Arabidopsis thaliana: one gene and its partners. The protein of the gene in region 1 interacts with the protein of each later gene in a biochemical or structural test. Each region holds a gene or a part of one and is shown in the gene's direction. Other genes may lie near its edges. The genes, in order: PHYA, PP5.2, PKS1 and COP1.

Region 1 (7,043 bases):
ACCATTGACATTGTTTATTACAGTGACGATAACAGATTTTAAATGTTCTTTTTAATACGGAAGTTTTGGTGTAAAGAACCATTTTCTTTATTTTCGTATATAGATTATTGGCCTTGTTTCACACAAATACACACATTAAAAACCGAGAAAACACATGGTAATGAACAGTTGTTTTGAGAGTTCAATATCAAAAGAGTGAAAATGAAATAGCTCTCAAAGGGCGCCTTAAAGTTCCAAACCATCACATCCCTAGTGATTGAAGCGTTCTTGGCCGGCCATTAAGAAGTCTCCTAAGCTCATATTTGTTTTGTTCTTCAAAGTGTTATTCCTGAAATGGGATTAGTACCTTTTGCCAATTCAGATATGTGCAACATGGGCCATGACTATGTCTAATGGATGATACTGTGTTGCTAGGACAACATTTGCATTATGGAGGCACATTTTTGGTCCAACATAGCTGTGCCACAATATCTATGCTGAATTGCGCTGTCTAGATAAGACGTTGTCGATTCGATCTTCTCCGGAGATTTACTGCAAAAAACTTAGGGGGAGATTTAACTTTAAGAGGATAGAAGCAAAATACCTAAGAAAACATGGTAACGTGGATTTGCGATAAGAACGAATCGAAGTTTGACAATGATGTTAAAACGATATGGATTTTGTTTGACGAAAAAAAAATAAAACCTTAATAACGATTTTTTTACCCTTTTTATATAAAAAATAAAACAAATTTAAATTCTTCGAATAAACTTAAATTAGTTTTACAAATTTTATTACTTTCTTTCAACGATAAAAAAAAATACAAAAAAGGAAAGTCCCAACTTTGAAGTAAATCCCAGAAACAGATTACAAAACGCAAAAAGCCGAGAAAACGTGAAGCCCATAAGACTATCGTTGTCGTCTTCCTCAAAACCCAACTTTCTACTTCTGGTTACTGCCTTCATTAAACAACTACCACCATCTTTCTTTCTCTCTCTCTTTCTCGTTTTTTTATTTTATTAATAATCTTTTTTTTTTTTTTTACTTTTGATCTCTTATCCTTTGGACGATTCTCTTCAATCGGATTTATAAGAATCAACCCCATTTTGTTCTTCTTCCACTTTACTTCTTTTTTCCTCATTACACAGTCTTAGTCACATCGGTGAAAATATCAATTAATATTCCCCAGAAAGTTGCCAAGATTTACAAGTAGTAGTACTTGATATATCTTAAGCCCACTGTTCTGTTTTAGCGAGGAAAATGTTACCGGCGAAGCCGACCCTGTTCTTGATATGTGTGTGAAGTTTGTCTTTTATCCAAATTAAGCTTTTTTCTTCTTTTATTTTATTCCATTATAAAATATACAAATCGCCCATACTCCGAGACATGGGCATACGTATTCGGGGTGGTCCCATTCATCGTCGTCGTCTGTGTTAGGGAGCACAAATAATAGAGAGGCGTAGCACAAGAGAGAAGGTGGTGATCGAGGCCAAGATTTAGAATTTAACTATAACAAAAAGCCTCTGACGAGTGTGACTAGTCACAAGATCTGATCATGGCTTCTTGAAACTTCTTCTTCTTCTTTCTTCTCTTTAAAGGTACCTACTTTCCTTTTCCCAAAGTTTCCTCCTTTTTTTTCTTTTTTTAACTATATATATTGAAGCTTGCTTCGATTGATTTCTGCTGGGAGCTTACCAGCTAGCTACTGGTCTCACTCTTCTTACTGAAATTGATTCTAACTTTGAAGTTAATTTCTTAAAGCTATCCTCTGTTGTCATCAATACCCTCTTGTTTTCTGCGATATAAAGGTTTTGTAGGTCTCTTTCGATCTGGCTTGATGTGTGTTTGTTTTACTCAACTTTTTATAGTGTGTGATCATTTATGAGAAGAAGCATCCAATTAATTAATCTCATCCTTTTATCGCTTTTAACTCCTACGATTGCTTTCCCTGTGGGGACTTTATTGTTCCTTTTGAAAGGTATAGCTAGCTATAAAGACTCTTAAGAGTTTATTATTGAGTCTACTTTATGTATGTAGCTGTGTTTGAATCTTGAGAGGCTGATATTAGCTCAGATCCTCGTTTTGTTAGTATTTGTGTAGTGGATTTACCCTGTTAACTATCAACTATTATTTGTGCGACTTGTTCATAGTCAAGATGTTGTTGATTTTGGATTGTAGGATGACTTAGAAAGGAAGTGTTCATGGAATCTGACTGGTTCAGTTACTTTGAAAATGATAAATCATTGAACCTTGGAATATGACACGATGATTCCTGCATCTGTTGCGTCCTGTTTCTGGGTTTAGCTATGTATTCTCGATGGAGTTAGTCAAGTTCATAACTCTTTTTACTGTGTGTTTGAAATTCTGAATTGGTTCTTAGTGTTTCAAGTTTATGCTTATGCATTCGCTTGTATGACTGGTGATGAATGTTTTTGTGTTCATATGATTATGGCATGAATGTTTTATTCCCTCTTTTATCAGAGTTTTGCACTTATTTTTTGTTGTCTTGTCTCTGTGTCAGGAAAAAAATGTCAGGCTCTAGGCCGACTCAGTCCTCTGAGGGCTCAAGGCGATCAAGGCACAGCGCTAGGATCATTGCGCAGACCACTGTAGATGCGAAACTCCATGCTGATTTTGAGGAGTCAGGCAGCTCCTTTGATTACTCAACCTCAGTGCGTGTCACTGGCCCGGTTGTGGAGAATCAGCCACCAAGGTCTGACAAAGTTACCACGACTTATCTTCATCATATACAGAAGGGAAAGCTGATTCAGCCCTTCGGTTGTTTACTTGCCTTGGATGAGAAGACCTTCAAAGTTATTGCATACAGCGAGAATGCATCTGAGCTGTTGACAATGGCCAGTCATGCAGTTCCTAGTGTTGGCGAACACCCTGTTCTAGGCATTGGGACAGATATAAGGAGTCTTTTCACTGCTCCTAGTGCGTCTGCATTGCAGAAAGCCCTTGGATTTGGAGATGTCTCTCTTTTGAATCCCATTCTTGTGCACTGCAGGACTTCTGCAAAGCCCTTTTATGCGATTATCCACAGGGTTACAGGGAGCATCATCATCGACTTTGAACCCGTGAAGCCTTATGAAGTCCCCATGACAGCTGCTGGTGCCTTACAATCATACAAGCTCGCTGCCAAAGCAATCACTAGGCTGCAATCTTTACCCAGCGGGAGTATGGAAAGGCTTTGTGATACAATGGTTCAAGAGGTTTTTGAACTCACGGGGTATGACAGGGTGATGGCTTATAAGTTTCATGAAGATGATCACGGTGAGGTTGTCTCCGAGGTTACAAAACCTGGGCTGGAGCCTTATCTTGGGCTGCATTATCCTGCCACCGACATCCCTCAAGCAGCCCGTTTTCTGTTTATGAAGAACAAGGTCCGGATGATAGTTGATTGCAATGCAAAACATGCTAGGGTGCTTCAAGATGAAAAGCTTTCCTTTGACCTTACCTTGTGTGGCTCCACCCTTAGAGCACCGCACAGCTGCCATTTGCAGTACATGGCCAACATGGATTCAATTGCATCTCTGGTTATGGCGGTTGTAGTTAACGAGGAAGATGGAGAAGGGGATGCTCCTGATGCTACTACACAGCCTCAAAAGAGAAAGAGACTATGGGGTTTAGTGGTTTGTCACAATACGACTCCGAGGTTTGTTCCATTTCCTCTCAGGTATGCCTGTGAGTTTCTAGCTCAAGTGTTTGCCATACACGTCAATAAGGAGGTGGAACTCGATAACCAGATGGTGGAGAAGAACATTTTGCGCACGCAGACACTCTTGTGCGATATGCTGATGCGTGATGCTCCACTGGGTATTGTGTCGCAAAGCCCCAACATAATGGACCTTGTGAAATGTGATGGAGCAGCTCTCTTGTATAAAGACAAGATATGGAAACTGGGAACAACTCCAAGTGAGTTCCACCTGCAGGAGATAGCTTCATGGTTGTGTGAATACCACATGGATTCAACGGGTTTGAGCACTGATAGTTTGCATGACGCCGGGTTTCCTAGGGCTCTATCTCTCGGGGATTCGGTATGTGGGATGGCAGCTGTGAGGATATCATCGAAAGACATGATTTTCTGGTTCCGTTCTCATACCGCTGGTGAAGTGAGATGGGGAGGTGCGAAGCATGATCCAGATGATAGGGATGATGCAAGGAGAATGCACCCAAGGTCATCGTTCAAGGCTTTCCTTGAAGTGGTCAAGACAAGGAGTTTACCTTGGAAGGACTATGAGATGGATGCCATACACTCCTTGCAACTTATTTTGAGGAATGCTTTCAAGGATAGTGAAACTACTGATGTGAATACAAAGGTCATTTACTCGAAGCTAAATGATCTCAAAATTGATGGTATACAAGAACTAGAAGCTGTGACCAGTGAGATGGTTCGTTTAATTGAGACTGCTACGGTGCCAATATTGGCGGTTGATTCTGATGGACTGGTTAATGGTTGGAACACGAAAATTGCTGAGCTGACTGGTCTTTCGGTTGATGAAGCAATCGGGAAGCATTTCCTCACACTTGTTGAAGATTCTTCAGTGGAAATCGTTAAAAGGATGCTAGAGAACGCATTAGAAGGTAAACTCTCTTCCTAAGTTATGCTGAGTTTGCTAAGAATCTTCCAACTAGATTTCACTATTCAAGTTCCAATTGAGTATCGTGGTCGAAGAAACTTGATGCAATGTGTTGTTTTTGGTTCTTAATGATGGAATTTTGTTTTCCAATTTTATCAAACACTGAAGCCGAGTCTATAACTTCACTTGCTTATCTATGCAGGAACTGAGGAGCAGAATGTCCAGTTTGAGATCAAGACACATCTGTCCAGGGCTGATGCTGGGCCAATAAGTTTAGTTGTAAATGCATGCGCAAGTAGAGATCTCCATGAAAACGTGGTTGGGGTGTGTTTTGTAGCCCATGATCTTACTGGCCAGAAGACTGTGATGGACAAGTTTACGCGGATTGAAGGTGATTACAAGGCAATCATCCAAAATCCAAACCCGCTGATCCCGCCAATATTTGGTACCGATGAGTTTGGATGGTGCACAGAGTGGAATCCAGCAATGTCAAAGTTAACCGGTTTGAAGCGAGAGGAAGTGATTGACAAAATGCTCTTAGGAGAAGTATTTGGGACGCAGAAGTCATGTTGTCGTCTAAAGAATCAAGAAGCCTTTGTAAACCTTGGGATTGTGCTGAACAATGCTGTGACCAGTCAAGATCCAGAGAAAGTATCGTTTGCTTTCTTTACAAGAGGTGGCAAGTATGTGGAGTGTCTGTTGTGTGTGAGTAAGAAACTGGACAGGGAAGGTGTAGTGACAGGTGTCTTCTGTTTCCTGCAACTTGCCAGCCATGAGCTGCAGCAAGCGCTCCATGTTCAACGTTTAGCTGAGCGAACCGCAGTGAAGAGACTAAAGGCTCTAGCATACATAAAAAGACAGATCAGGAATCCGCTATCTGGGATCATGTTTACAAGGAAAATGATAGAGGGTACTGAATTAGGACCAGAGCAAAGACGGATTTTGCAAACTAGCGCGTTATGTCAGAAGCAACTAAGCAAGATCCTCGATGATTCGGATCTTGAAAGCATCATTGAAGGGTATGCTAGAATGAAAGTCCATTTAAAATATGGTTTATCTGTGTTCTTATGTTGGAATTTGACTGTGCAGATGCTTGGATTTGGAAATGAAAGAATTCACCTTAAATGAAGTGTTGACTGCTTCCACAAGTCAAGTAATGATGAAGAGTAACGGAAAGAGTGTTCGGATAACAAATGAGACCGGAGAAGAAGTAATGTCTGACACTTTGTATGGAGACAGTATTAGGCTTCAACAAGTCTTGGCAGATTTCATGCTGATGGCTGTAAACTTTACACCATCCGGAGGTCAGCTAACTGTTTCAGCTTCCCTGAGGAAGGATCAGCTCGGGCGTTCTGTGCATCTTGCTAATCTAGAGATCAGGTAAAATAGATATATTCATAATCAGAATGCATAATATGATGTTAAAAACAGTGCATTGAGGATATTGGGATTATGAAAACAGGTTAACGCATACCGGAGCTGGGATACCTGAGTTTTTACTAAACCAAATGTTTGGGACTGAGGAAGATGTGTCAGAAGAAGGATTGAGCTTAATGGTTAGCCGGAAACTGGTGAAGCTGATGAATGGAGATGTTCAGTACTTGAGACAAGCTGGGAAATCAAGTTTCATTATCACTGCGGAACTCGCTGCAGCAAACAAGTAGTCCCCAAAAGAAAAGGGGTCTGGCTTGATATAAAATAGTCACTGGTTGTTCTTTGCTTGTAACTTTCCTTATCGCTTTTGTTTTCGTTTTCAAATTTCAGTAACGATGAAATATCCATCCATTTACATCTTCTGTTGAACTCTTTTCTGAAGCTGTAAATATGGATGCATATCTAATCTCCTCCTGAGTGTTTTGGTTTCATGATGTATCATTCAAAATAAGTAATATAGGAGAAATGAGCTAATGTTTACGGTCCATGGTTTATCATAATGGCAGAAACTCAAACAAATATTCTATCTAGTTTCATATAATCTCCTTCTTTTAAGGTATTAGAGGTAATGCATGATTCGTGACTATGTTGCAAGAAGTCTTGGTTTCAAACAATTAGCTTTGGCTCAACTCCATGAAGAAGCAAACATAGTTCTTCGAACTTAACAGAGATCTATTAGCTGGCCATATGAAGTACACTTAGTTTTCTGTTAGAAGAAGCACATGGTGTGTGAAGTAAAAAATAAGTTATCATGTTAATTAAGTAATCAGTTTTATTAGACCCATACGTTAAGAGTCTCTCAAGTTGATTATTTTATCTGAAAAGTCAGATAAATTAGCTTACCTGTTTTGAAAGCTTTTAGATTAGATCAACCTCGACTTCTTACCTGTCTTTAGTCAACTTTGAACAAAAAATAATATGGATTATACAAGAAGACGAATACATGAGACTATGGAGCTCAAATGCACACTGAAGATCATCAGTTATTGTTCCTTTTTTATTACAGAAGACAAATCAAAGAAGATAAAAAGATCTTCCCTTTAGAAA
Region 2 (6,953 bases), on another chromosome or scaffold:
GCTAAAGACGTTTGAGAAAGTTTCTGTTGAAAGAAGAGTAAAAACTCAAAAAGAAAATGGGTTTCATTATTGCGATTGCAAAACGTTTTGATGCTCTAGTTGGGTAGGATTTTATTCAAATTCTGTCTCATATAATAAAAATAAACACTATATTTGTCAAATTTTTAACATTATTTTCTTCCTTTTTCTTGTTGCATGCAGGCCTGGAGTCATGCTTCTCTATCCTCTGTAAGTGATATCAAATCTGAATTTAAATGTTTGGTTTTTACAAATGCAACTTGATAGTTAACTGAATAAATGATTAGGTATGCATCATTTCGAGCAATAGAGAGTCCAACAATGTTAGATGATCAACAATGGCTTACATATTGGATCATTTACTCTTTAATAACGATATTCGAGCTATCCGTTTGGAGAGTCCTTGCCTGGTAATTACAATATTATTCACTAAATTCTGTTACGAATTCAAAAATTTATGCCTATAAAGACAAAAAAATGGTGTTCTTTTGCATATTGTAGGCTACCATTTTGGCCATACTTGAAGCTTTTGTTCTGTATGTGGTTGGTGCTACCAATGTTCAGTGGTGCAGCTTACATTTACTCCAATTTTGTTAGACAATACGTCAAAATTGGGATGAATGTTGGAGGAGGAACGAATTATACAGACGAACAAAGAAGAGTTTTACAGATGATGAGTCTTGATGCTAGAAAATCGGTTCAAGACTACGTTGACCGGTTTGGATGGGATTCTGTTGAGAAAGCAATCAAAGCGGTATATGATTTCTCTTGTTGATCTTTAATATAGTTATGTATATATAATCCAATACATATATTCTGGGAGTTTAACTTCATTATTTGTGTTCAAATGTAGGCTGAAAAAGAAACTAGAAAGCATTGAGATGGAAGATCAAGAGTCAAGAAAAACATTACTCTTTGGTTTGTACATGTATGTACATAGATTGTATAGAGCAATACTATAATGAAAAAGATATATATGTTTGAAAGATTTATGGTGACAAATTTGTGTTCTAGTACTCTATGACCAAAGATACTATTAGAGAAGCCAGTCCAACTCTTTTTGACAACATACATTTGGATGGGTCTCAATTTGATTAAACAAAACATCAGGACACGATTCGAATTAAAATGAGAATACAACACTCTTTTTGACATAAAAATAAAAATAAAATTCAAGCTCGCGCTATATCACAATTGGTGTTTTGCTAATTTCCTAAATCTAATTTTATTCTAATTTAATTATGTAAAATAATAAAATCACATCTTTGGAAGTTTTTAAATGTAATTCATATAACGACAAAAAAAATGTAATTCATATGACGTAAAAAAAATGTGATTAATTTTGTTAGGGTCATTAATCTATATTCTATACTTTAATACTCTGAGATCCGTGATTATTATTATTTGTCCATCTCTATCCACAAACCATACATAAAAAATTGATATATGACGTCAGAAAAAGATAATACAAGTCTACATATCTCTTCGTCCATTTATTTAATTTAATTGGTAAAGAATTGAGTGCGCAAAATTAATAATTTCCAATTTATCAAAAAAAAACACATTAATAATTTTATTTTTTATTTTGTTCAACTTAAAAAAAGAAAAGAACACACATTAATAATTTCCAAAAACCCCTCTTTTCTCATAGATTGAAGCGTATACTCTAATTTGACCAATCTAATCTAGGGTTTCTAGTCACTTGAAGCTTCTCTTAAAAAACCTGTCTCACTCCTCGTCAACCTCTTCCTCTCCCGCTGTCGCCAAGATTGAATCTTTTTTCAGGTTTGAATCTATCTTTAGAGTAATGAGTTTCTCTGATTTCCCGACAAAACATGTCTTAAACGCTGGCTTCCTTCTGTTGTTGTCCAGTTCTGCTTTCCTCTTATCTGGGTTTTAATAGATCCTTTCACAGAATTTGTTTGTAAGTGATATATTTTTTCCACTTGTCACGGCCACGATTCTGATTATTCTTCTAATTCGTTGTTGAGCTGTTATGAAAACGATGCAGAATTTGAAAGTTCACAACTTTTTGCTTCTTATCTATTCGCTTAATGCTTTTTTATCTGTTATGTTTCGTGTTCTTAGCTGGATTTAGTTATGTGCGTTTTTCAAGTTCATTAATGTGTAGGAATGTTTTTCTGTGTGAATGACTTCTCTTCCTCCTATGTATCTCGTTGCATGACTAAAGTCAGTGGCTGTATTACGAAAAATCTATACTTTATTTAGGTTGAGTATAATTTCAATGTCTAAAGCTCTTAAACTAGCTCCCTGTTAAGTAGAAAACTTATTGATGAGGAATTGGCCAAGTGATTATGATTATTGCTATCGTGCATTTGGGCATGACTGAGATAAAACCTTAACTTTACATATTTTCTGTCAATCAGTTGTGGCTTCACCGGATAATAAGGAATTCAGTAAGAGATAAGTTCATCCTGACAACATGGAGACCAAGAATGAGAATTCTGATGTTTCACGGGCAGAGGAGTTTAAAAGTCAGGCCAACGAAGCTTTTAAAGGTGTGTAATTTATCATAAACCTTTACATAATCTTGTGGCATCAGTTTATTTCAACTCTTTTAGTGAGGTACTCCTATCTTTTTGCTTAATGTTGTTTGTTGCTTACAGGTCACAAATACTCCAGTGCTATTGATCTATATACAAAAGCTATTGAACTCAACAGCAACAACGCTGTGTATTGGGCAAATCGTGCATTTGCTCACACAAAACTGGAGGAATATGGCAGTGCAATACAGGATGCATCGAAGGCCATTGAAGTTGATTCAAGATACTCTAAGGTATCATCCTGTGACAAGATGTTCCTGTTTCTTCGTGTATTCAGCCATATTCACTGATTATCTACTGAATCACAGGGCTATTACAGGCGTGGTGCTGCGTATCTTGCCATGGGAAAATTTAAGGATGCCTTGAAGGACTTCCAACAGGTTAGTGTTTCTTGCACGAGCATTGTGCCATTTAAGTTGTTGTCTCTTTCGTTTATATTTGTTAGCTGCTGATCTGATAGTCCTCTTTCTAGTTTACTCTAAACTTTTTGAGTGAGGATCAGCTCAGTTGAGAAATGTCAAAATACTATAGATGAAATGTTGTAGGCTTGTATAGCTTGAACCCACCCAAATGGTCATAACTTGATTGTTTTGGTCTGATCAAGTGATTAGATCCTGGAAACTTGATAGAGTGATAGTTATCTGTCAAAATCTGGTTTGGTGGTCGACTGTCTTGATCTTTTAAGCAAGACTAGCGTGTATGGTATTGTTGACTTGGTCTGCTATATATATTTTAGGTAAAAAGGCTTTCTCCTAATGACCCTGATGCCACAAGAAAGCTAAAGGAATGTGAGAAAGCAGTGATGAAACTCAAATTTGAAGAAGCAATCTCTGTGCCAGTATCTGAAAGGCGTTCAGTAGCTGAGTCCATTGACTTCCATACAATAGGTATCCTTCATCTGTTTGCTTATTTTTTGGTTGTCTTATAGCTTGCAGTTTGTTGTGTCACCTGGTTCTTTCGTCTCTTGTTATGCCATGCCTTTGATTCAGTAGTTGAAAAATGGTTGAATGTAGCTTTAGACTAGTAATCATTCTTCTACCTATTGTCACATAATAGGGAACAAACCCAGATCATCATCCATGCCCACCAAAACGGCTTTAGCAGCAGTTGTTGCAGCAGTAATGGTGGTGGCGGTCCGGGGATTTGCCACAACTGAGATACTCATGGTGTTGGTTTCGGTGGTATTAGGGACATTTTGGTGGGGTAGCTTCAGTGGTAGTAGTGTCTTTTCTCTGGTTAAACCCTCATCCTAGGATCAATGTGGATTGTTTTCATGCATATCAAAACCTGGATAGTTTCCTTTCTTGGAGTCTCAGTTGAGAATTGACAAAGCTCAATGATATTGATGTCAAAAACATCTCAACAGGAGTGGAACATTTCATAGATTTACTAATATCTCTATTTTTGTTTTGTTATGATAGCATACCTCTTTTACTACATTGTAAAAAATGTGTATCCATGACTTGTAGCTTTTAATATTCATTGATAAATGGTGTTCACTGTTACAGAGTTCTTAACCTTTTGTCAATTTACTTATTCTTTTCAATTTTATTGTAGAGGTTGAGCCACAATATTCTGGTGCTAGAATTGAGGGAGAGGAAGTTACCTTAGATTTTGTGAAAACGATGATGGAGGATTTTAAGAACCAAAAAACATTGCATAAACGGTATGTATTGTTTTGGGGGTACTCAACTTAATTTACACAGTTACCATATGTTCATGCTTTGCGGGCACTTTATATGTAGGTATGCCTATCAAATCGTCTTACAGACTAGGCAAATCTTGCTAGCACTGCCTTCTCTTGTTGATATAAGTGTTCCACATGGCAAACATATCACTGTTTGCGGTGACGTTCATGGTCAGGTATGCTTTGGTTTCACCTACTCTCCGAACATAATATTTTAATGTCTCAAATGAATCTGCGAGGATCCACCATCTCCTGTTCTCTTGTTTATATATGTAGAAGTTTTCAATAAACCGGTTCCCATACTATATTTCTGGAATTGGATTTTATTATGAATCATTCTACTTTTCATATCTTGAATTTATTGGCTAACCTTCTACTCCCTCTTGCACTATTAAGGGCTGTATTGTGTTGTATTGGGTGTATGTTTGACACATTGTTTGCTTTTGCAGTTCTACGATCTTCTCAATATCTTTGAGCTTAATGGCCTCCCTTCGGAGGAGAACCCATACCTATTTAATGGCGACTTTGTGGACAGAGGCTCATTCTCCGTTGAGATCATCCTCACTTTGTTTGCTTTCAAGTGCATGTGCCCATCATGTAAGTTCTCTAAAACTTTGTTGTAATAATTCTTTGATGTTCATGTTTTAATTGCTTTTGCTATCACTGGCAAGGATTAAATTATTTACTATTGTCTGATGGGGTTAAAAGTTTCCATTTTAATTGTAAATCGCCATTTACACACCTTTGTACTGCAGCCATATATCTAGCCAGAGGAAACCATGAAAGCAAGAGCATGAACAAAATTTATGGTTTTGAGGGTGAGGTTCGGTCCAAGTTGAGTGAAAAATTCGTGGATCTCTTTGCTGAAGTTTTCTGTTACCTCCCGTTGGCTCATGTTATAAATGGGAAGGTCTTCGTGGTACATGGAGGTCTTTTCAGTGTTGACGGCGTGAAACTCTCAGACATCAGAGCCATTGACAGATTCTGTGAGCCACCAGAGGAAGGTATGTTTCATCATATACATCTTCTGTAAGATTACTTCTCATGTAATTGTGTTCTGTTTAATCATCTTATCTTGCTAATGGTTTATGCAGGACTAATGTGTGAACTATTGTGGAGTGATCCTCAACCTCTCCCTGGAAGAGGCCCAAGCAAGCGAGGAGTTGGTCTATCATTTGGTGGAGATGTGACAAAGAGGTTTTTGCAAGATAACAATTTAGGTTAGTTCACTGTCTTGTTATTATCGGGGTTTGGTTTCGCAAACTAATATTTACTTGAGATAGCTATTAACTTGCATTTTCATGATTGTGGCAGATTTGTTGGTCCGGTCACATGAAGTAAAAGATGAAGGTTATGAGGTTGAACATGACGGTAAACTCATAACTGTCTTCTCTGCGCCAAATTACTGTGATCAGGTAACTCAGACACTCCTGTCTTCTTATTTCAAAACAGCACCCAGTTACTTGATTCTTTACTTAACATGGACTGGTATTGTTGTAGATGGGTAATAAGGGAGCCTTCATTCGTTTTGAAGCTCCTGATATGAAGCCAAACATTGTTACATTCTCAGCAGTGGTGAGTGTAGTCCTCTTACATAGCATTGTTCTTATGAATGTTTCACAGAAGATAGTTCACGGTTTGATTTAGACTCATTCAAACACTCTTCTAATTTTCTGATATTGTTATTTCCCAGCCTCATCCGGATGTGAAGCCTATGGCATATGCAAACAACTTTCTCAGGATGTTCAACTAACCAGCAAAAAGCTTCTTCTACTCAAAATGCTATTCTAAAGACTCAAGACCAGAAGTGGTTCAGAAACATAATGATATAAGTTTTTTTTTCCCTTTATCTTCTGCAGTTTTTTCATGTTGTTCCAGAAAAGGGAGGCCATGATAATTAAAGGTACAGTATCCGGATTTGATCGTTTTTTTTCTTCTTCCTTCTTTTCTGATAAAGATTTTCACTCTTCCTTTAAGCTTATCCAGCAACTTTTGTCCCTTTTGTCTTATGTTGTAAGAGGGGGTAATGTATCATTCTTATTTTAGATGAAAATCTTGTGATTACTCAACAAAAGAGTGACCAAATGACCCCCCAAAACTTTGTACTTAAAATGGTTTCTTGAATCAAAAATCAAAAGGTGTTTCTTTAAAGCTTCTTGTCTGCTTCTTAGAGTCTTTTTGAATGGAGTTTAATTCAAATATTCAAGCAAAGACAGCAAACAAAAACAGAGAGGTCAATAGTGTTGAGTTCTTGCAACAGTTACTCTCGTGTAGATTCAGTTTTTCCCTTATTTGAGTTTGTACAAATGGTGTGACCTGTTTAAATACAACAGTCTAAAGAAAGTTAATAACACTATTGTTTTCCCCACTCTCTTACATGAGCTGTTTCAGATCAAAATACCTGCAGATTCTCCCATGAATTTTGCAGAGAATTTTGACAAAGTATGTGCTTTTGTTTAGCGATGACAAACCACTACTGAATCACAGAATCATAAACCTTGTTTTAGTCCATGCATGGATAGATAGATAGATACATGTACTAAAATGTGGAGAAAGCAAAAGTAGATGGAGTGGTGTCAAATCGTAAAGCACTGATGAAAGGCCTGAGAGATCGAGAAAGCATTACGTGGATTACATAAAAACAATTTACAAAAATTGTCAGATGTTTAAGGGAAGTAGCTAGA
Region 3 (4,696 bases), on another chromosome or scaffold:
ACAAACACGTATGCTGTGGGATCAATTCGAACCATTCATACGTGATACGTCGACTATAGCAACTAATAAGCATATTTTATTAACTACATTACACAATATTCTTGATTGACAGATACATAGATTTTATGTTTGAATTAATTAATCTTTCGTTATGTTATATTTAACAAAAACAATACACATTATTTGATATGTATTATATGACAAGATACGATTCCATGAATTTTCTAATATACATTACACATAAATTATAGAGCGTACGTCAAATCATAACATAAAATATTACTATATTTAACAAAACCCAACTCGATGGTCTTTGTCAATATCTCCCCATGCAACAAAATACGTACATCCCTCGTGCTTTCTAAGTTTCTATTTTTGTATTTTTGTTCCTCAAGTGAAATCCATATCCACTACTTTTCTAGTTGAAAAAAGTTAGAAGTTAAAATACAAGTAAATCCAGATTCACTTGTCAGCTCAATCCTAACATGTCTTTGAAAATGTGTGTCCGAAAACTTGTCAGCCCATTATTAAGTATGTGAAACAATACTTTAATTTGAAGTAATTAAGAAAAACAATACATTAAATCTACTTTTTTTCTCATGTAAAACTCTTTGACACCATTGGTAAAATCCAATCATTTATCTTCCGATCTTATTGACGATGTCATTAATTTGTTAATTGTATGATGGTTAATAAGTTTATCCAATGTATGTTTTTGTTTAATTTATTTATCCAATGTATTATTTTATTTTAACATACAATGCTAATCAAAATTTTAGTTTAAGTAATTAAGAGAGTCCTTTAAGAATAATAAAAAAATGTTGGTTTATAACAGAGAGTCCTTTAAGAATAATAAAAAAATGTTGGTTTATAACAGAGAGTCCTCAATGCAAATCAGATTGTTTTAAACCTGCACACAATCCAACAAAATCATCTCTTCTTGCTAAAGCTAATCATCTCAATTATCTCACAAGGTTCAACAATCGTATGAATGTGAAGTATATAGCCATACACCCCCATCTGTAATTAACGTGTCCGAACGGATTGTACATTAGAGCACCTCCAATGTATAGGATTCATATAGTTTCTAAAAAAACAAAAAGTATTAATATTTTATTTTTATATCCAAAAAACAAAAAAAAACAACCTATATGAATAATAGAAACGATCCTCCCAATTTTAGAGATTCTCTCTCATCTCTTTTTTAATTTATAATTTTTTTTTGTAATTGTATGAGTTTCTACTAAAAAACTACGGTTGGAGTTGGTTTTAGTTGCTACAAATATAGTAGCAAATGTGTTTTAAATCGGAATCTTAAAAACGTATAGTAGTGCTAAACGTCTACGTACAAAATACGAATATTGAACGTATAAAAAAAAACACTTTCTGAAATCTGCAGGTTAGAAAATTATTTAAGAGATCCAGTTGCAATGTGAGTAGTATACTAGTACTGTTGTATTAATAAGTCCTAATCGAATTAAGACCATATCATTATAATTCCTTTCTTTTGTGGTCACGGGGGTAACATTATTTTTCGATTATTCTCCATTGATTGGCAAAGATTCATTATCCAAATATATAAATAAATCAGTTCACACACACAACAACTGGCCAATGACTCAAACTGGAACCCACTCACATTGATCAGATCATAACACTTTTAGCTTCAGAAAAAAAAAAAAAAACAGCTATCAAACATATCGTCTTGTTACTCTATTTATACCCTAATTCCACATATCTACACACAAGCAATAAAGAGAGAAAAAAATATAAAGCTACCAAAGAGAAAATGGTGACACTAACACCATCTTCTGCTAGTACCCCAAAAACATCTTTTGATTTCATGAAGAATAACAACAGTCACAGCAGTCTCTATGTTTCTTCTTCTTCTTACTTGAGCAGCAAGGAAGATGCTCTTGTCACGACCAAGAAGCTCATGGAACCAAGCAAAACACTAAACATGAGCATTAATCCAAAACAAGAGGAGTTTGGTGATGAGAAGAAAATGGTGAAGAAAGCTCCTGAAGATCCAGAGATTGGTGTGTTTGGAGCTGAGAAGTACTTCAATGGAGACATGGATTCAGACCAAGGTTCTAGTGTTCTGTCTCTGACAAACCCAGAAGTTGAGAGAACCGTCGTCGACTCGAAGCAGAGCGCGAAGAAATCTACTGGTACTCCGAGTGTCCGGTCTGAATCAAGCTGGAATAGTCAGAGCGTGTTGCTTCAGAACAAACTGGTGAATAGCTGCAACAGTTCCTTCAAGGAAAAGAAGAACAGTAATGGTCAGATTCAAAAGGTGACCAATAATAAGAAGAGTTTTCTCGCAAATTTGGGGTGTAAATGCGCATGCTCTGATGGGGATTCTGTAGATGTCGAGGAGAAAACCTCGGTCAAGAGAAGCGCTGATCCGAATATCTCTGTTATCACAATGAGATCTTCTGCGGATATGAACACAGAACTGATCAAGATTCAGAAGCAAGAGGAGTTATCACAGAGGAAGTCTCTTGAAGTTTTTGGATCTCCAGTGGCTATTGAGAAGAAGAGTAGTGTTGTTCAGAAGAAACTACCATTGCCTCCATGGAAATCGAGAACAGAGGAGGACGACACAAAGAGTGAAGGGAGTGATTCAAGCTCGGATCTTTTCGAGATAGAGGGTCTTACAGGGAACCCTAAACCTTTTCTTACGAGGCAAGGAAGTGATCCAGCTTCACCTACGTGTTATGCGCCAAGTGAAGTAAGCGTAGAGTGGAGCATAGTGACAGCAAGTGCAGCAGATTTCTCTGTTATGTCAGAATGTGCAACAAGTCCTGTAAGAAGAAACCGACCTACTCAGATTCCTCGAATCCCTATTACCGCTAAATCAGCACCGCAGAGACGGAAATCGAGTAGCAGCAGCGGAGGGAATGGTTTCTTGATGAGCTGCAAGAGTCATAAATCTGTTATGGTTTCTGGTGATTTAGACAGAAGAAGCAGCATGAACAAGACACAACCGAGTTACGTTCCTAGATTCCCAATGGAGACTACTAAACCTAAGAGTTTCGAAACACGAAGAAGGATCAGCAACAGCTCGATTTCTCACACACAATCATCTCTTCTTTATAGTCAGTGATTGCAAGAAAGTAAAAGAAAAAGATTTCAATCTCTGATCTCTCTTTATCTATAATTTCTACTGAGTGAGAAAGATATGTAAACTTATAATAATGTCTTGTTGAGTCCATGATCAAATCAATTTAAAAGGGTTTCTTAGAGACCTTTTGCACCTAAGAAAAAGTTACTCAAAGAGTGACAAATGATTGGAGAGTGAAAACAAAACATTATGGTCAGTTAAAAACACAGATCTCAAATTCAGCAAAATAAGCAGAGAGACATTCCAAAAATTGGCTCCACCAAGTTTTACCTTTTTTGGATTTAGTCTCAAGACTCAAGAGAGAGAGATATGAGTTTTGTCTTAGCTTGAAAGGGTTAAATCAAACGTACACTAGATTGACAGAAAGAGCTATTAATGAGGAAACTTAAATCAATGAAAGTGTCATATTACCTAACATATCTAAGATCTGGTCCTGAAACTCATCTAAAGGCCATGTATATGTCTGAAATAAAAGTAAGGTAGACAAAACCTTAATTGCTAGTTGACAATATGAGAGAAAAGAACCAAAGTGCCTTACTAAGACAATAAATGCAAAGAAAGATCAAAGATGTTTGTCTCTGTAGCCTACTCATAAGGGAAATGATCGAATTTACCCCAAATGATCTTATCCAGTTCACTGATATTTCTCTGTAAGATATTTCAAAAAGGGCTAATTAGATTTCAAGAAAAGACATAAATGAAACCAAGATGATGACATCAAAGCTAGTATAGCTAGTATGGGCTTAAAACCAAGAAACATACAGATCTTGAAGATAAGTATTGTACCCTTCTCAAAAGATATGAGAAAATAATTGACCACACTATATATAAAAATCTAATCATCTAACTACTTAGTTTTCATATGTGGATGAGAGAAGAACAACAAAAGCAAGAAGACATTTTGTGTTAAGAAAGCAAAACAAGATTACTCATCTTTGAATTCTTTGGTTGGACATTGCCTCAAAGCATCCGCTTGCTCTCTTTCGTCAAGTGAATAAAGGCAAGTTGGTAATGAGATGAGACTCTGATCCCACATGACAAAAAATGGCTGAGAGAAGTTTCTATTTAATTCCATAGAGTTTGTGGTGAAACATTCACTGTCTTGATGTGAAAGGGGTTCGTTCCTCAGGAGCCCACCAAGAGAAGGAGAAGAGTCTTGTGTGGTCGTTTGCTGCATCTCCATTACTTCATGTTACCAAAAGAATACAAAAAAACCCCAAACATAGGTTCAGGAACAGATGATGATTATAGAAATAACAATCTTATATTATCTGACAACAAAGTGGTAACAGTACATCAAAACTAGGATTCTTGACTGTCTCTAGCTATGTGTCAGTTCCTAATATCTTCCACAGAGAGAAGGAAATAATGATCATATGCCAACATAAAGAAAATCAAATCTTTTTAAAGCACCCCTAAGTGTATCATAACATGAGAAAAATAAACCTTTAAAGGAAAGATCACTCGATTTTCACAAAGATAACAATCACAGTGCTCTGCCTCTGATTACCAAGTAACGTTTAATGTTCAATTGCCCCGAGTGAAACCATTACCAGTTATTTCAAGAAG
Region 4 (7,945 bases), on another chromosome or scaffold:
CCAACAAAGTGAAAATATGATAATAAAAATTGGTCCATTAGAACGTAGAGTATCTATTTTAATAAAAATATAAACTGCACAAAAGCAAACAGATAGAAAGATTTACCTTTCAGCTGCTTGCTGCCTCAGTACAATGTCAAGCACTCTAAGTGCATCCTGAGCACTCTTATCTGGTGTATAAGCTCCTCTCTGAGTGCCAAGAACAGTCTTCAACGGTATTTCTGCAGCATAATGTATCTGAACCTTGTAACTTCTTGGCAAGAAAGAACGTTTTGATCGCTTGCAAGTACCGGAAGAACTACCACCATCAGAGACACCACAATCACTATAAACTTAACAAGACTGCGTTAGTTAGAAGATCAACAAGATCTATCTTGACACCTTGAAACGATTAAATATCAATCCAGATAAGAGGGACATACCGTTTTGAAAATGACCCTTCCACGATGACTAGAAAGTCAAATTCGTTCTGTGGTAGAGGACCAACAGTATATAAAGTCTTCTCTCCATCATATGCCAACCTTTTACCATCAAGATCAGAAGAGTAAGTCTTGAATAGTTGGTCCATAAGCTTTCTGCTTATTCCTGTCCCATCAACAGCATCACCGTTTTCTGTGGTGATACTAACCTGCAAAAAAGGTACCGATATGTCAAACATCTCACACACGCACAGACACTGATGAAAGAATGCAGAAAAGTGACTAATGAATCTTACAGTGTACTGGTAAAATACTACATCCGGCTGTCTCACAGAAACATTAAAGTGATTGGTGCACAATTCTATTGGGTTGCCTGTGGTTCCAACCCCACGTCTAGTTGTGATGTCATAATCTCGATGGCTGGGCTGTTCTGGTTCTATACTTATGGGTGACAGTGGCAGAGATGAAGATGTCTCCATCCTTCCAGGGGAAAATAATCTGCAAGAGAGAAAAGTGGAGGTTGGTTACAGTGTGCAAAAACCAGTCCAAAACACAATGCTCAGGAGACTAAGAAAGAAAAGAAAAACACCAAATTAAGAAGACAACTCCAAAAGGTAAAAAGCTAAAAACTTTACCACCATTGTCGTTCTAAGATTTTAATTTCTGGGCATATCCTGCTAAATCGCGAGAAATGGTATAAATTTCAGATGAGGAACAAACTTAATCTGGAAAAAAAATGGCACCTTTAACTGTTGGTCGCCTTCAAAATTGAGAAACATTACACAAACAAAAACTCATTCGAGTGTGTCATACAGTAGCATAACAAGACTTTCAAGAGAGAAACAACGCAGCCAAAACCATACAACTATCAACAGACAAATCCTAGCTTCATGCAAATTCTCCGAAAGAGAGACAAAAACAAAACCTAGCTCCGAATCAACAACAATTACAACAGCGATATCTAGTGAAAACAGCGCACCTTTGAAAGAATTAAGAAGAGGATTTCTAGGGTTCCGGTGAATCAAAGAGAGGAATTTATTTAGCTCATTTCTCTTCTCCGTCACAGTCTCTTTGGGTTTCCCAGACAAGCAAAAGAATGGAGGGAACGTTTCCAGTGATGGGAAAATTAAAATATATTTCACTTTTCAGTCATTTTTTACAGTAACAAAATTTAAGAACTGAAATAAAAATGGTTTATTCCAAAATTATTAAACCGAATCCTTCAAAACTTATTCTATTTCTAGGGTTATGCTCCGGTTGAATGGATTGAAATTCCCAACTTATTCATTTCAAATAGTAAGAAATAAAATGAATGGTTGTAAGAAATTAAATTAGACCGTCGTGGTAATTGTAAGAAATTTCATTGAACCGGACTATAAATTAGAAGCCGGATAATTAAACCGTACCAGCGCTTGGAGAAACGCCAGACACACGCGCGAAAAGAAGCGCGTAGACCAGAACGTGTAGGATTTGTCACCTCAGAAAAGAACCACGGTGGATCCCACCACACCTCAGCCTCACTCCTCCTTCATCTCCGACGTCATACCCAAACCACTCTTTTCTCACAATTCCGATTTTCTCAAAAACCAAAATCACAATCGAAGAAATCTTTTGAAAGCAAAATGGAAGAGATTTCGACGGATCCGGTTGTTCCAGCGGTGAAACCTGACCCGAGAACATCTTCAGTTGGTGAAGGTGCTAATCGTCATGAAAATGACGACGGAGGAAGCGGCGGTTCTGAGATTGGAGCACCGGATCTGGATAAAGACTTGCTTTGTCCGATTTGTATGCAGATTATTAAAGATGCTTTCCTCACGGCTTGTGGTCATAGTTTCTGCTATATGTGTATCATCACACATCTTAGGAACAAGAGTGATTGTCCCTGTTGTAGCCAACACCTCACCAATAATCAGCTTTACCCTAATTTCTTGCTCGATAAGGTTTCTTTTTCTAATTTTACTCGTAATTTGTGTTTGGTCCTTAGCTTTTCAGTTCAAGTTCGGGTGTTGCTTGTTTGAGTCTTAGCTTGTAATCAAGTTTGGTTTTTGTCGTGGTTTTTGTGGAAACAAGTAAGCTAGCTTAGTCTTTAATCGATTCCAATGAACCTTGCCATTAGATTTTCTTAGGAAGGTTTTGTTTTGTTTTTGATGTGTAGTATTGTGGTAGGATTCTGCTTATTACAGCTAAATAGAAGCATGTTTATAGGAATGATAGTGTATTGAAACTATTTATCACTGGAATGCAGCTTATTATATGACGTTTATGTATCAATTGTGTAGCTATTGAAGAAAACTTCAGCTCGGCATGTGTCAAAAACTGCATCGCCCTTGGATCAGTTTCGGGAAGCACTACAAAGGGTCGGTTCTTAACAAGCTTTTTATGTTTCATTTTTTCCTCTTTAAGTTTGCTTTCTCAGAATTATTATTGGAGTAAAAAGCAATTCTAAGTCATTTCTTTTGATCAAATATTGACTTCCTGCGTTCATACTTAGACAGGGTTGTGATGTGTCAATTAAGGAGGTTGATAATCTTCTGACACTTCTTGCGGAAAGGAAGAGAAAAATGGAACAGGAAGAAGCTGAGAGGAACATGCAGATACTTTTGGACTTTTTGCATTGTCTAAGGAAGCAAAAAGTTGATGAACTAAATGAGGTTGGTTTGTCTGAATTATGGAGTAGCATTGGGCTACCTATTGATAATTATTCTCGTTGCTCTTCATTCCATTTGCTTCAAAATCTTCACTGGGTTTAGACTGTATAGTTGTTGTAAAAGAAAGCCATAAACCATGTTTCTATCAATAGATGTATGATCTATCCAACTATTCATGAGACGTATAACCCCTGAATGTTAGATGAGATCTCAGAATATTATAGAATTCTGTCATTTATGTCTTCTCTATCTTAATGTAGGTGCAAACTGATCTCCAGTATATTAAAGAAGATATAAATGCCGTTGAGAGACATAGAATAGATTTATACCGAGCTAGGGACAGATATTCTGTAAAGTTGCGGATGCTCGGAGATGATCCAAGCACAAGAAATGCATGGCCACATGAGAAGAACCAGATTGGTTTCAACTCCAATTCTCTCAGCATAAGAGGAGGAAATTTTGTAGGCAATTATCAAAACAAAAAGGTAGAGGGGAAGGCACAAGGAAGCTCTCATGGGCTACCAAAGAAGGATGCGCTGAGTGGGTCAGATTCGCAAAGTTTGAATCAGTCAACTGTCTCAATGGCTAGAAAGAAACGGATTCATGCTCAGGTTTGTTCCTCCTTGTCTACTCAACATCTTTATGCTGAAATGGTAAAAGGACAATGGCATTAAAGTTTAAGATATTTGTCTATTAAAGAATAAGAATAATTACTACAATTAGGCCCCAGTGATTGTGTTACAGTTACTACCATGCCTAGCTACTCAGCTCTTGGTCATCTGGATTGACAGCTCGAGAAATTGAAAGTGGTTGTGGGTAGAGGATGAATCTTCTTACGGAAAAGATACCTTAGATTAAGGCCCACATTTTTGGTGGTCTTTATAAAAAGCCGATTGGACTTCAGAGAGATTGATTTCGTATTGTTTGCACGTAAAAGTAGAAATAGCTTTCTGGACTTTATATCTACTGCTTAGTGATAGTAGCCGCTTCTTGTCTCTCTGGTACTATAGCAACAAAAAGTCACTATGTTCTCTAGACACACTAACAGTTCTGTGAATACTATGCAATCACAATTATAGTAGTTTTCTTGAAAAAACCTGCATGGTCCTTTAATCTCTCTGTAACTGCTTGTTGATATATGCACAGATTGCCTAATTCTGTTAAAGTGTCTTGTCTTGTAGTTCAATGATTTACAAGAATGTTACCTCCAAAAGCGGCGTCAGTTGGCAGACCAACCAAATAGTAAACAAGAAAATGATAAGAGTGTAGTACGGAGGGAAGGCTATAGCAACGGCCTTGCAGATTTTCAATCTGTGTTGACTACCTTCACTCGCTACAGGTAGAGGAGTGACTATCCCTTTTCAATCGGTCTAGCCGTACATAAAGAGTGTTTTCGAATTAGTTGGGGTTTTAATTGCACTCTTTATTCACAGTCGTCTAAGAGTTATAGCAGAAATCCGGCATGGGGATATATTTCATTCAGCCAACATTGTATCAAGGTGAATTTTCTATTCCTTGTTCGTTGATCAGATAACAGATGATAGGTACCAAAAGAATGTCTCCGAATATATCAAAATAGACCCTTAAGTGATTAAGTTTTGTTTAATGTATTGATAGACGCAATTATTACTATGGGATTCGTTGCTGTGTAATTCTAAGCCAGTGAATAGTATGAAGATAAAACTGCTGACATGGTAGGGAGAAGGTTGTGTAGTCAGCAGGCCACTTGAGGAGAATTTTCTAAAAGATGGAACACTATGTTATCCTTATCCATGTCGGAATATATAGAATCGGTTTGCGATCTTTTATATGAAAGTGTCTCTTCTCAATGAAGAGACGAAAGATATATATTTTTAGTTTATGGTCTGGGAGCTCCGGGGCTCATATCTTTTTCTCTCTATGTGCTTTGGTTTATGGTCTTCCATAGTTTACATGCTTTATGCTTTGCCTGGACCTCTAGTTTACCTGTAATTTGATGTACCATCTTACTGATTTTGCTGATGAAGAGGGTGCTGTTCCTTTTCAGCATAGAGTTTGATCGTGATGATGAGCTGTTTGCCACTGCTGGTGTTTCTAGATGTATAAAGGTTTTTGACTTCTCTTCGGTACGTTCATAAATCTTGGAGTGCATTCAATTACATACCAATTGAATCTTCTTGTCCAACCTTATGCTTTTGTGAAACTGATCATGCATCTCAATTCTAAGAAAGCTTCGTTGATAATGAAACTAAGTTATGCTCTTGGGAAATTCTAGCTTTGATGCAAGATAGCCATTTTACACTTTTGTATTGCGTAGAAGAATATAAATCAAAGCTAATCAAATTTTTGGTTTTAATTTTCTGTTTTATCCAATGGACCACGCTGAACTGATTGATTATCGGCTGCTACTTTTCAGGTTGTAAATGAACCAGCAGATATGCAGTGTCCGATTGTGGAGATGTCAACTCGGTCTAAACTTAGTTGCTTGAGTTGGAATAAGCATGAAAAAAATCACATAGCAAGCAGTGATTATGAAGGAATAGTAACAGTGTGGGATGTAACTACTAGGCAGGTGAGTACTTTACCCAAAGTATCTAACATCGCACCTATAAGATATTCATCTCATGAATTCTGCAGCGTATTTGAATTTTTATGTAAACTGAGGCAGAGTCTTATGGAGTATGAAGAGCACGAAAAACGTGCCTGGAGTGTTGACTTTTCACGAACAGAACCATCAATGCTTGTATCTGGTAGTGACGACTGCAAGGTAAATATCTCCATATTTTCCGTTATCACCTTTCATCTCACATTGGGCTATGTCTCATATAAAAAGAATACTACTTTTAGATATCTCCTAGCTCTTATAACTAACTTGGTCACGGATTTGTCTAATTTCTACGACGAACTAAAGAGACATATTGTGAAACAAAACTGGAGAATCTCCTACTTGCTCATTAGTACATTGTGTTCTCATGAATCTTTTCTACTACTTCTTAAACTTTTCTTTGAGTTGTTCTTCCCAACTTGGGGATTGGTCATATGTAGCCCTTCCTACATTGAATGTTTGTTGGTTTCTTAAATTTTCAGCAAAATTTTCCCCTTAGTGTATCTGTGGTGGCTATACATTAGGAAACAAACGAAACTGGACACTTGTATATAGTAGATTTTACCTTGAAATTTTGTAGCTTCATTTGTCCAAATTTAATTAAACGTTATTGAAAAATTCACTGGATTTCTAATTCTGACAAAAGCATATTATACCAGTGGGCTCCTTTTAAGTCAATTCACTACTAGTTAATCCTCAACCATGCATTATTGCATCTGTTAAATCATGTCTCATAGATTAACCAATTGTGCTGTGTGTTTGATCCAGGTTAAAGTTTGGTGCACGAGGCAGGAAGCAAGTGTGATTAATATTGATATGAAAGCAAACATATGTTGTGTCAAGTACAATCCTGGCTCAAGCAACTACATTGCGGTATATACTTCCACGCCTCAACTTTGCATCTCACATTTATTCGCTACCACTCATGATCAGCATGACACTATCACACGTCTCTAGATATAATCTTTAATTAGATAGAGAGACTTAGACGTTTAAGCCTGTTGACTTATCACAGGTCGGATCAGCTGATCATCACATCCATTATTACGATCTAAGAAACATAAGCCAACCACTTCATGTCTTCAGTGGACACAAGAAAGCAGTTTCCTATGTTAAATTTTTGTCCAACAACGAGCTCGCTTCTGCGTCCACAGATAGCACACTACGCTTATGGGATGTCAAAGACAACTTGCCAGTTAGATTACTGCCCGAGCCAATCTTGCAGATTCAGTCAAAAAGAAAAACTTGTCTTGACTATGTTGTTCAATTTTACTTTTCAGGTTCGAACATTCAGAGGACATACTAACGAGAAGAACTTTGTGGGTCTCACAGTGAACAGCGAGTATCTCGCCTGTGGAAGCGAGACAAACGAAGTATATGTATATCACAAGGTTCACAAATCCGAAACCTCTGCTCTCAACTTTAGCATTTTTCATTCATGATTCACAGATTTTCAACCTGTCGTTGCTCAAGTATTTTAAAATGTGAATGATGCGATGCAGGAAATCACGAGACCCGTGACATCGCACAGATTTGGATCGCCAGACATGGACGATGCAGAGGAAGAGGCAGGTTCCTACTTTATTAGTGCGGTTTGCTGGAAGAGTGATAGTCCCACGATGTTGACTGCGAATAGTCAAGGAACCATCAAAGTTCTGGTACTCGCTGCGTGATTCTAGTAGACATTACAAAAGATCTTATAGCTTCGTGAATCAATAAAAACAAATTTGCCGTCTATGTTCTTTAGTGGGAGTTACATATAGAGAGAGAACAATTTATTAAAAGTAGGGTTCATCATTTGGAAAGCAACTTTGTATTATTATGCTTGCCTTGGAACACTCCTCAAGAAGAATTTGTATCAGTGATGTAGATATGTCTTACGGTTTCTTAGCTTCTACTTTATATAATTAAATGTTAGAATCAAAATGCGGTGATGTGAATCGGTCATGAAAAGTCAAACCTTGGCTTATACAAAAGGTCCGACCCATGCAATAAGTCATTAGTATGTTCATGTAGCAAGATCATTGAAAAAAAAAAATCATTTTATAATGTAAAATTCATGAGAATTGACGAATTTGTGTCATAAGTGAAATTATATACAATTACTTAACACCTCTAAATTAACTCATAACAAAGTGATTGTGTGACACATTTTCATAAATTGGTCGTATCAATACTATAAGAGTAACCCTTTTAAATTTGGATACGCAACTAGGGATGGCATGATGTCTATATAAAATCATGCATGCTTTGTGAAGTTTAAATCACATGGCCAAACATTTTAGTTTTCGTCT

The links.
Region 2: the proteins of PHYA (region 1) and PP5.2 form a complex in vitro, tested with the Arabidopsis thaliana proteins (one study listed by BioGRID).
Region 3: the proteins of PHYA (region 1) and PKS1 form a complex in vitro, tested with the Arabidopsis thaliana proteins (one study listed by BioGRID).
Region 4: the proteins of PHYA (region 1) and COP1 form a complex in vitro, tested with the Arabidopsis thaliana proteins (one study listed by BioGRID).

The regions. Positions count from the first base shown.
Region 1 is NC_003070.9:3,094,681-3,101,723, reverse strand, and holds PHYA (phytochrome A), read left to right. Parts: upstream 1-1,893; 5' UTR 1,894-2,296; coding exon 2,297-2,301; intron 2,302-2,500; coding exon 2,501-4,566; intron 4,567-4,764; coding exon 4,765-5,581; intron 5,582-5,651; coding exon 5,652-5,942; intron 5,943-6,024; coding exon 6,025-6,226; 3' UTR 6,227-6,521; downstream 6,522-7,043. UniProt on the Arabidopsis thaliana protein: Regulatory photoreceptor which exists in two forms that are reversibly interconvertible by light: the Pr form that absorbs maximally in the red region of the spectrum and the Pfr form that absorbs maximally in the far-red region.
Region 2 is NC_003071.7:17,811,405-17,818,357, reverse strand, and holds PP5.2 (protein phosphatase 5.2), read left to right. Parts: upstream 1-1,585; 5' UTR 1,586-1,803; exon of another isoform or gene 1,804-2,208; intron 2,209-2,405; 5' UTR 2,406-2,461; coding exon 2,462-2,537; intron 2,538-2,645; coding exon 2,646-2,815; intron 2,816-2,890; coding exon 2,891-2,962; intron 2,963-3,318; coding exon 3,319-3,469; intron 3,470-3,638; coding exon 3,639-3,800; intron 3,801-4,139; coding exon 4,140-4,248; intron 4,249-4,327; coding exon 4,328-4,445; intron 4,446-4,718; coding exon 4,719-4,866; intron 4,867-5,024; coding exon 5,025-5,273; intron 5,274-5,363; coding exon 5,364-5,489; intron 5,490-5,583; coding exon 5,584-5,684; intron 5,685-5,769; coding exon 5,770-5,844; intron 5,845-5,962; coding exon 5,963-6,022; 3' UTR 6,023-6,423; downstream 6,424-6,953. Other genes in the region: HVA22F (HVA22-like protein F), read left to right, coding at 57-103, 202-228, 306-428, 520-772, 872-898. UniProt on the Arabidopsis thaliana protein: Isoform 2 dephosphorylates phosphorylated phytochromes, with a preference toward Pfr forms, and enhances phytochrome-mediated photoresponses, probably by enhancing their stability and their binding affinity for light signal transducers such as NDPK2.
Region 3 is NC_003071.7:853,562-858,257, reverse strand, and holds PKS1 (phytochrome kinase substrate 1), read left to right. Parts: upstream 1-1,532; 5' UTR 1,533-1,789; coding exon 1,790-3,109; 3' UTR 3,110-4,181; downstream 4,182-4,696. UniProt on the Arabidopsis thaliana protein: May be responsible for light-regulated cytoplasmic sequestration of phytochromes or may be a negative regulator of phytochrome B signaling. Component of the network that modulates the very low-fluence response (VLFR) branch of phyA signaling.
Region 4 is NC_003071.7:13,975,959-13,983,903, forward strand, and holds COP1 (Transducin/WD40 repeat-like superfamily protein), read left to right. Parts: upstream 1-1,922; 5' UTR 1,923-2,041; coding exon 2,042-2,359; intron 2,360-2,698; coding exon 2,699-2,776; intron 2,777-2,910; coding exon of another isoform or gene 2,911-2,914; coding exon 2,915-3,070; intron 3,071-3,327; coding exon 3,328-3,678; intron 3,679-4,248; coding exon 4,249-4,406; intron 4,407-4,500; coding exon 4,501-4,566; intron 4,567-5,093; coding exon 5,094-5,172; intron 5,173-5,462; coding exon 5,463-5,618; intron 5,619-5,714; coding exon 5,715-5,813; intron 5,814-6,419; coding exon 6,420-6,524; intron 6,525-6,666; coding exon 6,667-6,846; intron 6,847-6,931; coding exon 6,932-7,042; intron 7,043-7,153; coding exon 7,154-7,324; 3' UTR 7,325-7,651; downstream 7,652-7,945. Other genes in the region: AGO6 (Argonaute family protein), read right to left, coding at 107-325, 423-628, 716-898. UniProt on the Arabidopsis thaliana protein: E3 ubiquitin-protein ligase that acts as a repressor of photomorphogenesis and as an activator of etiolation in darkness.